Ovis aries: one gene and its partner. The protein of the gene in region 2 purifies or fractionates together with the protein of the main gene of each other region. This does not show direct contact. Links are inferred from orthologs where the notes say so. Each region holds a gene or a part of one and is shown on either strand. Other genes may lie near its edges.

Region 1 (3,802 bases), on a different chromosome or scaffold from region 2:
CCCGAGACGGCTCGCTCCTCACAGAGCAGAGGACACGCTTGCAGCCACACTGCTCCTCAGCCCTCCACGTCTGTGCAAAGCCTGGGGCTCGCTGCACCATCCCAGGGTGAGGCGGGGGCAGAGGGCCGCCAGGGGCTCAACTGCATCCCCAAATTCACAGGGTGAGCCCGCCCCCGCGGCCGTTCGGGGACAAGGCCTTTGAGAAGATGACTAAGGTCAAACGAGCGCATAAGGGGGGCCCTAACCCACAGGGACGGGGCCCAGGAAGAGACGCAGAGACGCTGAGCACACGGGCCCTAACCCACGGGGACGGAGGTCCAGGAAGAGACGCTGAACACGGGCCCTAACCCATGGGGACGGGGCCCAGGAAGAGACGCAGAGACGCTGAGCACACGGGCCCTAACCCACGGGGACGGGGGCCCAGGAAGAGACGTTGAGCACAGAGGGTGACCACGTGGTGCTAGGGGCGCAGACGCATCCACACGGCCCGGAGAGGCCGCAGGAGGGATCGGCCGGCGAGGGACCAACAGAGCCGAACACGTGCCCTGAAGCCCCACCCCTGACGGACCAGAGGGGACCATGAACCCCAGAGCCCAGTGAGACCTGGGGCTCGTGTCCGGCAGGTCCTGCCTCTCCGGGTCACGGCCACACGCCTCGCCGGGAACACGCTTGCGCCCGAGTCCACTACGTGGCTCCCTTTCATGAAAAACGCTCAGAAAACCGCTGACTCGGAGAGCCAGTTCCCGCCGTCCACCGTGTGGCTTCTGACCCCCCAGGGCCCCGGGCCCGTCACTCACCTGGAGTGGTCACCATGCACCTCCAGGGTGCGAGTGTCCAGCAGCAGGCCACACCAGGGGAACAGGCAGTGGGCCGGCAGCTGCAGGGGCGCCACGCCGCCCAGGGCCCCAGGCTCCACGGGGAAGTTCACCACCGTCTTCCGCAGGTTCACCTGGCAGCCGTACTCGGGCACGCCACGCACCAGGGTCCTGTGGCCGGGCACCGTGTGAGCGCCGGACGGACAGGGCCACACTGGGTGTCTCGGGGGCGCTGGGCAGCGTACCCAGCACCCAGAGAGGCAGGCAGGCCACGGAGGGTGGGCTGGGACCGCGGGCCCCCACGGAAGGCTGGACACGGTCTGGCTCTGTGGAGCGACCTGCTGCTTGTGATCAGGGCCCGGGGTGGCTGGTGGCAGAGGAGGGGAGCAGGGGCGCCCCAAGGCCAGCCCTGAAACGTGAGTGGACGCTGGGACCATACGCCAGGCTCTTGGAGCCCTGGGACCGCGCCACAGGACCCTCCCCAGAGGTGCGGGGACACACAGGAGGACCTTGTTCACACGCCTGCAGGACACGAGCTGGGAGGCGCGTGCAGAGACGCACACACGGGGGACCTCACCTGAGGAAGTCTGTGGCCCGCGTTAGGTGAGGGGTGACCAGCAGGAAGTCGTCCACTAGGCGCAGAAGCACCCTGGGCATGGAGAGAGCCCAGGGTGAGGGCAGACCCTGACACACCGCCACACGCCCACACACGCCATGCGCCCCCGGCGTCCTCCCGGGGCGGTGAACGGTGCCAGGTGTACTGTCTGAGTTCAGCCGGACGCGGATAAAGTGATCTCCAGAGAGCCAACCCCCACCAGTGTCCATGGGATTCGGCTCCGGCCGGGACGAGCAGGGCCCAGCAGTCGGGCTGGGAGCGGACGGGTTCAGTGCCGCCGACACGCCCTGGCCACGGGGCAAGCCACGCTCACTCCCTGCTCGAGGCCTGCTGAGCACCTCCTCCCAGCCGCGTGTAGCACCCTCTGCACCCAAGACCGGAAATAGAGGGGCCCCAACAAGGCCGCGCCCGCCGCCACGGGGCCTGCGCCCACCAACACGGGCGTGTACCCTCCGCCACGGGGCCACACCGGCCAGCACGGGGCCTGCGCCTGCCCGCACAGCCGTGTACCCTCCGCCATGGGGCCACGCCCACCAACACAGGGGCACGCCCACCGCGATGGGGGCCACGCCCACCAACACAGAGGCACGCCCACCGCCATGGGGGCCACGCCCACCAACACAGGGGCACGCCCACCGCCATGGGGGCCACGCCCACCAACACAGGGGCACGCCCACCGCCATGGGGCCACGCCCACCAACACAGGGGCACACCCACCGCCATGGCGCCATGCCCTTTGCCACGGGGGCCGCGGCCGCCGGCCCGGGGGCCGTACCCGTCCTGCTGGACTCCGGGGAAGAGCTTGTTCTCCATGTCCCCGTAGCAGAAGCTGCAGAGCAGGGTGGACAGGATGGAGCCCTGGGGAATCCCCTGACACTGGATGTAGGACCTGGGGGGCAGGACGCGGTCAGCAGGGGGGCTGGCCACGGCAAGCCTCACGTTCACATCTGCACACGCGCGCGCAGACACACAGGTGTGCGCGCACCGCTCCCACCTGGGGACGCGAATCAACACGCTTGTCACACCCCCCACGAAGCCCTGCCACACGCAGCACGACCCCGCTCCACGAGGGGTGGTGGCCCTGGGGAGGAGTCAGGCTCCAGGCCTTTCCCGCAGAGAAGGATCTCCTCCGCCTGGTGCCATTTCCACGCGTGTGCAGGCCTGTGCTCGCGTGCGAACTCGCCCCTGCTGCGCAGCAGGCACCGCGCCTCCCCAGGAGTCTGCGCTATTTTATATTTTACCGGAACTGCCTTGCCGGGAGCATTGTAGTTACTCAGAACCTAATGATAACGAAGGCACATCCTTTAAGCAGAAAGCCCCCTGAGCCTGGAGCACATTCACGACCCCTGAGAAGGCCCCAGGGTCTAGACCGACCTCTAACAGCCGAGGCCACGAGCCCGAAGCCCCCTGGACCCAGAGGGGTCTCACACGGGTGCCACCAGAGCAGATGCGCTTTCACACACGTTAAGAGAGCCCCCCGCTGCCCTCTGACCCCGAGCACGTCCCGTAAGTGGAGGGCCGTGCGCTGCCACCCTGTCCATGGGGCTGGGGCGCTGAGCGGGTGCTGAGCGGGCAGGCGGGGCCCAGACCTACCTGCCCCCGATCCTGATGACGTGGCTGCGGACCAGGTGCAGGAAGAGGTTGAAGAGGCTGCTGCCAGGCTCGTTCAGGGAGCAGCTCTGCAGAGGCAGGCGGGGCGCTGGGCTGGAATGGACGCCACTCTGGGCCAGCAAGTGGCCCAGGGGAATGGGCCCGCACCCAGGGAGGCGGCAGGGAGCCCCACGTGCGACAGGGAGCCCCGAGGGCCCAGGCCCCGCTGGGGAACCCGCTCACACAGGAAGTGCGTCCCCACAGGGCTCAGTCAGGGGCAGGTCTGCGGGGCAAGCCCTCTGCCCTCCTGGAGGAGGTGGATGCACCTTCTTGTGGCCTCAAGGCCAAAACAGAGGGAGAAGACGGGCAGCAAAGTGCAGAGGGGCCACGGACGGCGGGGGTGCGGGAGGCCTGGGAGCGGGAGGAGGTGTCCTAAGGCAGGGGCGCGTCTGCACCGGCCAGCCCTCGGGGTGTGGGCGCCCACACCCACCTGCTCGATGACCACGGCGTCCCTCAGCGAGCCCATCACCTGCAGATGCTCCACGAGCTGCCTCAGGTACGGCTGAAAGTCCGAGAAGGTGGACACCTGCCGGCCGAGGACAGGGTGAAGTGGGTGGACACCCCACCCCCGACAGCATGGTGTTCAGGACAGCGGTCAGAGTCTGGGGGGCTGGCCACGGCCACTGTGACCGGGCAGAAAATGCCAGGCCGCCGGGGGCGCCGGGGAGGTGTGGACACAGACGGGCTGGGGTCTTGGTTTTCAGGGTGCATCCCACCTCCC
Region 2 (4,378 bases):
GCAATAAAGACGGCATACAGTTTATGTCACAAACGCACATACTATAACGCTGGCACAAGAGACTGGAGAGTCAGCTGAGGGCAGCTTTTCTTCCCCAGGGAAACGGCAGGTCTCTCCAACCAACAGAGTGCACACATATGCGCTCAGTCATGTCTGACTCTTGCGACCCTATGGACTGTAGCCCGCCAGGCTCCTCTGTCCAGTGGATTTCCCAGGCAAGAATACTGGGGTAGGTTGCCACTTCCCTCTCCAGGCGATCTTCCCAACTCAAGGATCAAACCTGCATCTCTGTGTCTCCTGCACTGCAGGCAGATTCTTTACCAGTGTGCTACCTGGGAAGCAATGGAGTAGGGCAGTGTTTCCCAAGTAAGGATGTTAAATGCAGGGGAGGACTCAGGATAGAGTGTCCTGAATCTGCAGAATCACTCTTTGGGATGAAAGGGGTAACCATCCTCTAGCAGGGACTCCTCCTATATGGAGATCTAGCCAGACGTTTTCAGGGTAACCCCAACAAACAACCCTGCACACAAAAGAGGTGCCAGGTCTGATCACTCCACGCCCAGTACCACAAAGTTCATGGCAGGATTCAGCTTACCCTGAGAAGAGTTTTGAGTGCCAAGAGCCAGGGGCAGTTTTATCTTTTTTTCTTTTAGCCCAAAGACACTTTCAGATATTCAAGACCTCAAAAAAAAAAATCCTCCACCCATGTATTCTTATTAAAACATTTTTTGAGACATAGATTAAGGCATAGATTAATCTTGAAATAGAGTCAAGATTAAGGAAACAGCAGCATAAAATTGTAATGCAATGACCATTCAAATCCGTTAATGATAGCACTGTCATTTGATTAGAGAATGTAATAATTGCAAGTGTCGAAAACTGGTCCTAATAAAATGTGGGCCTAAGACTCCAAATTAAATAAGGACTGAGAAGTGAGAGTGATAAATGAAATTTTTCTCATGTTTTGGTAGGCTAGATTTCTTACCTTAAATAGGGGGAAATCAATAAAATATATTTGACAACTAGAGAAATGCAGGATAAAGGATATTTTTGAGAAACATAAAGAAAACTGCTAGATTTTTAAAACAGGAATAGATGCCTGGGAAGATAAAAGAGAACACAATCTAGTCCATATGGCAAGGGAAAACAAAGGAAACAGCATACTTACTGAAGTGAAAATATTAACTTAAGGTGAATCAGAGGAAAAAAGTAGGTTACAAAACTGTATCTACAGAATCATTACAATTGTATAAACTATCAGAGAAAATAATTGCTGGGTAGTGAAACGGCGGGCTGGGATTTCACTAATTTTCTATTTTCTCACTTCTAAAACAAGAACACCAGTCCTAAGTGTCTAATCACAGGGAATGCCTCTAATTTAGTAAATCATACTAAAAGGCAACACAAAATACTGGGTTGGCCAAAGTATAGGGTATGGAAAAAACTTGAGTGAACTTTTTGGCCAACCCAATGTTATCTATTACTATGCCAAAGATATGAAAATCTGGAGACATGGGGTTGGCGGGAGAACTGAAAATACTCTCTTGAAATCCTGCAGTCTGAATTACAGATGTCCACAGATGGCACCGTGCATCCGTACTTTGAACTATTTTCACATTCACCATCTCATTGACTTTTTTAAGACAACCTAGTGATGACCGTAATCGAAGATGTTTTTAATAGCCCCAGAGAAACTGATCATGGAAAGAGACATAAATGAACAGCAGAACTAGGGCGAATGTTTCCACGTACATGCTGAACTAAGTGTACATCAGAGAATATTAAAACCCAGAGAGATTTAGCCACGCTGGTTATACAGATGAAGAAACAGAGCCCACGGGGTCACACGAACACATACATACTCCGTTCTGTAAGTCCGTGTTTAAAAAACAATAGTAGTCTGCTGACCCTAGTGACAAGAATGTAAAGAAACAGCGACAACTAGACCGATTTTGTCACTTTCTACCTCAGTGACTTGGGGTGAATTATTTTCCTCTGAATCTCAACTTCTGCCCCTGTAAAACCTGAATGGTGCCTTAATGGTGCCTTAACCCACTTAGTTTCGTGCCCCCATTCCCCCACCTCTTTAGATGAGAGGAGGCCGACAGCATTTATTTCACGGAGTCCCTGTGTAGTTGCTGTTGGTCTGTTAAATACACTGTTTCTGGTTCTCGTTCACTAAACACTTTCAAAGGGACAAGGCCGGCTTTTCAGTTCCAAAGCACGACTGCTCTCTGGTGGCCAGGAGCCTTAACTACAGGTGCCATTCAAAAGTTAAAAAGCCGCTCCAAAGGAAGGAAATTGACGAACTTCACAAAATAATAGTGAATGTCAAAGGCAAACCCAAGCACCGCGGGCGTTGCGGCCAACACTCCTCGCAAAGAAGACTGTTACTAATTCCAACTACCAAAGTCACAACCACCACGATTTTATTTAGAATTACTCATGAGTCCTGCCTCCCCTATAAAACACTAACTTCCAGTGTTTACTGCTTCTAAGCTCTTGGCTTTTCTTTTTCTTGATTCAATACATCTTCAAGGACGGACTTTCACTGCTAGCCCAACAACTTCCTTTTAGCCAGAGGACGCTGAGGCCTGGGGAAGTAAGAGTTCAGGTCTCCAAAACCAGAGTCCTGACCCCCCACTGGAACCCACCGCCCACGTGTCCAGGTTTGAGAGCGAGGACAAGCGTCCCAGGCGGACACTCGGTCTCATCAGCAGACCTGTAGCTAACTTTCGAGGAAGGCTGAGCTGGGAAATCTCCGCGGCAGCCAGGGAGAGCCGAGATGGGCTTCCAGGACGCCGGCCCCCGGCCCCCTCCGGCCCACTGAGCGCCGCCGGCCACCGTGTCACCCGGAACCTTCACCCTCGGGCCCGATCAAACCTCCGCGCCCAACACTCACGCTCAGCCAGCATCGACATGTCGCCGAGCCTGTGACGCTGCGGATCTCGGGACCTGAACGACCGCAATTACCGCAGGGCAGACAAGAGGAGAAGCTGAAACTACCGGACTCGCACGCCGGGGAAACAGCAGTGGCGGCGGCGGGAGGTGCACTCTGATGACGTCAGCGAGGCGCGACTCGCCCCTGAAGCGCGCAGCGGCGAGTGGGCGGGGTGCGGGCAGCCTAGCACTCTCTTTGGTAGGATACTGGGTGGACTAATGGTTTCCAAGGCTTGTTTCAACTTTAGCGTTCCGGTGTCTGTGAAATATCTATGAGGAACATCCATTAAAAAGAACCGTTATTAAGTTTGGGTGTTTTTTTTTTAATTACAGAATCTTGATATTTTTAAATTGTCAGCTGGAAGTTCTCGTGGTTCAGGCGGTAAAGAAAATGCCTGCAAGGCAGAGGACCGACTTCCATCCCTCGGTGGGGAAGATCCTCTGGAGAAGGGAACGGCTACCCACTCCAAAATTCTTGCCTGGAGAATTCCATGAACAGAGCGGGGCTAGTCAGGGCATGGAGTCGCGAGGAGTTGGACTCGACTGAGCGACTAACACCCTAACTATTTTTCAGTAGATACTGCACTTTTAAAAAGAGGGTGACCGCTCTATTTCCAGTTTTTTAAGGAGTCTCCACACGCTAGTAAAGTAATGCTCAAAATTCTCCAAGCCAGGCTTCAGCAATACGTGAACCGTGAACTTTCAGATGTTCAAGCTGGTTTCAGAAAAGGCAGAGGAACCAGAGGTCAAATTGCCAACATCCGCTGGATCATGGAAAAGCAAGAGAGTTCCAGAAAAAACATCTACTTCTGCTTTATTGACTATGCCAAAGCCTTTGACTGTGTGGATCACAATAAACTGTAGAAAATTCTGAAAGAGATGGGAATACAGACCACCTGACCTGCCTCTTGAGAAATCTGTATGCAGGTCAGGAAGCAACAGTTAGAACTGGACATGGAACAACAGACTGGTTTCAAAATAGGAAAAGGAGTAGGTCAAGACTGTATATTGTCACCCTACTTCTTTAACTTCTATGTGGAGTACATCATGAGAAACGCTGAACTGGAAGAAACACAAGCTGGAATCAAGATTGCCAGGAGAAATATCAATAACCTCAGATATGCAGATGACACCACCCTTATGGCAGAAAGTGAAGAGGAACTAAAAGCCTCTTGATGAAAGTGAAAGTGGAGAGTGAAAAAGTTGGTTTAAAGCTCAACATTCAGAAAATGAAGATCATGGCATCCAGTTTCATCACTTCATGGGAAATAGATGGGAAACAGTAGAAACAGTGTCAGACTTTATTTTTTGTGTTCCAAAATCACTGCAGATGGTGATTGCAGCCATGAAATTAAAAGATGCTTACTCCTTGGAAGAAAAGTTACGACCAACCTACATAGCATGTTGAAAAGCAGAGACATTACTTTGCCAACAAAGG

Evidence for each region.
Region 1: the proteins of PINX1 (region 2) and TERT purify together in Homo sapiens (co-immunoprecipitation; 3 studies listed by BioGRID and IntAct, with this or other methods). This does not show direct contact. The link is inferred for Ovis aries from reciprocal best matches to the Homo sapiens genes PINX1 and TERT.

Annotation. Positions count from the first base shown.
Region 1 is NC_056069.1:71,200,531-71,204,332, reverse strand, and holds part of TERT (telomerase reverse transcriptase), read right to left. Parts: intron 3,608-3,802; coding exon 3,512-3,607; intron 3,111-3,511; coding exon 3,025-3,110; intron 2,321-3,024; coding exon 2,207-2,320; intron 1,465-2,206; coding exon 1,393-1,464; intron 987-1,392; coding exon 798-986; intron 1-797. UniProt on the Homo sapiens protein: Telomerase is a ribonucleoprotein enzyme essential for the replication of chromosome termini in most eukaryotes. Active in progenitor and cancer cells. Inactive, or very low activity, in normal somatic cells.
Region 2 is NC_056055.1:104,714,839-104,719,216, forward strand, and holds the start of PINX1 (PIN2/TERF1-interacting telomerase inhibitor 1), read right to left. Parts: upstream 3,061-4,378; 5' UTR 2,922-3,060; coding exon 2,903-2,921; intron 1-2,902. UniProt on the Homo sapiens protein: Microtubule-binding protein essential for faithful chromosome segregation. Mediates TRF1 and TERT accumulation in nucleolus and enhances TRF1 binding to telomeres. Inhibits telomerase activity. May inhibit cell proliferation and act as tumor suppressor.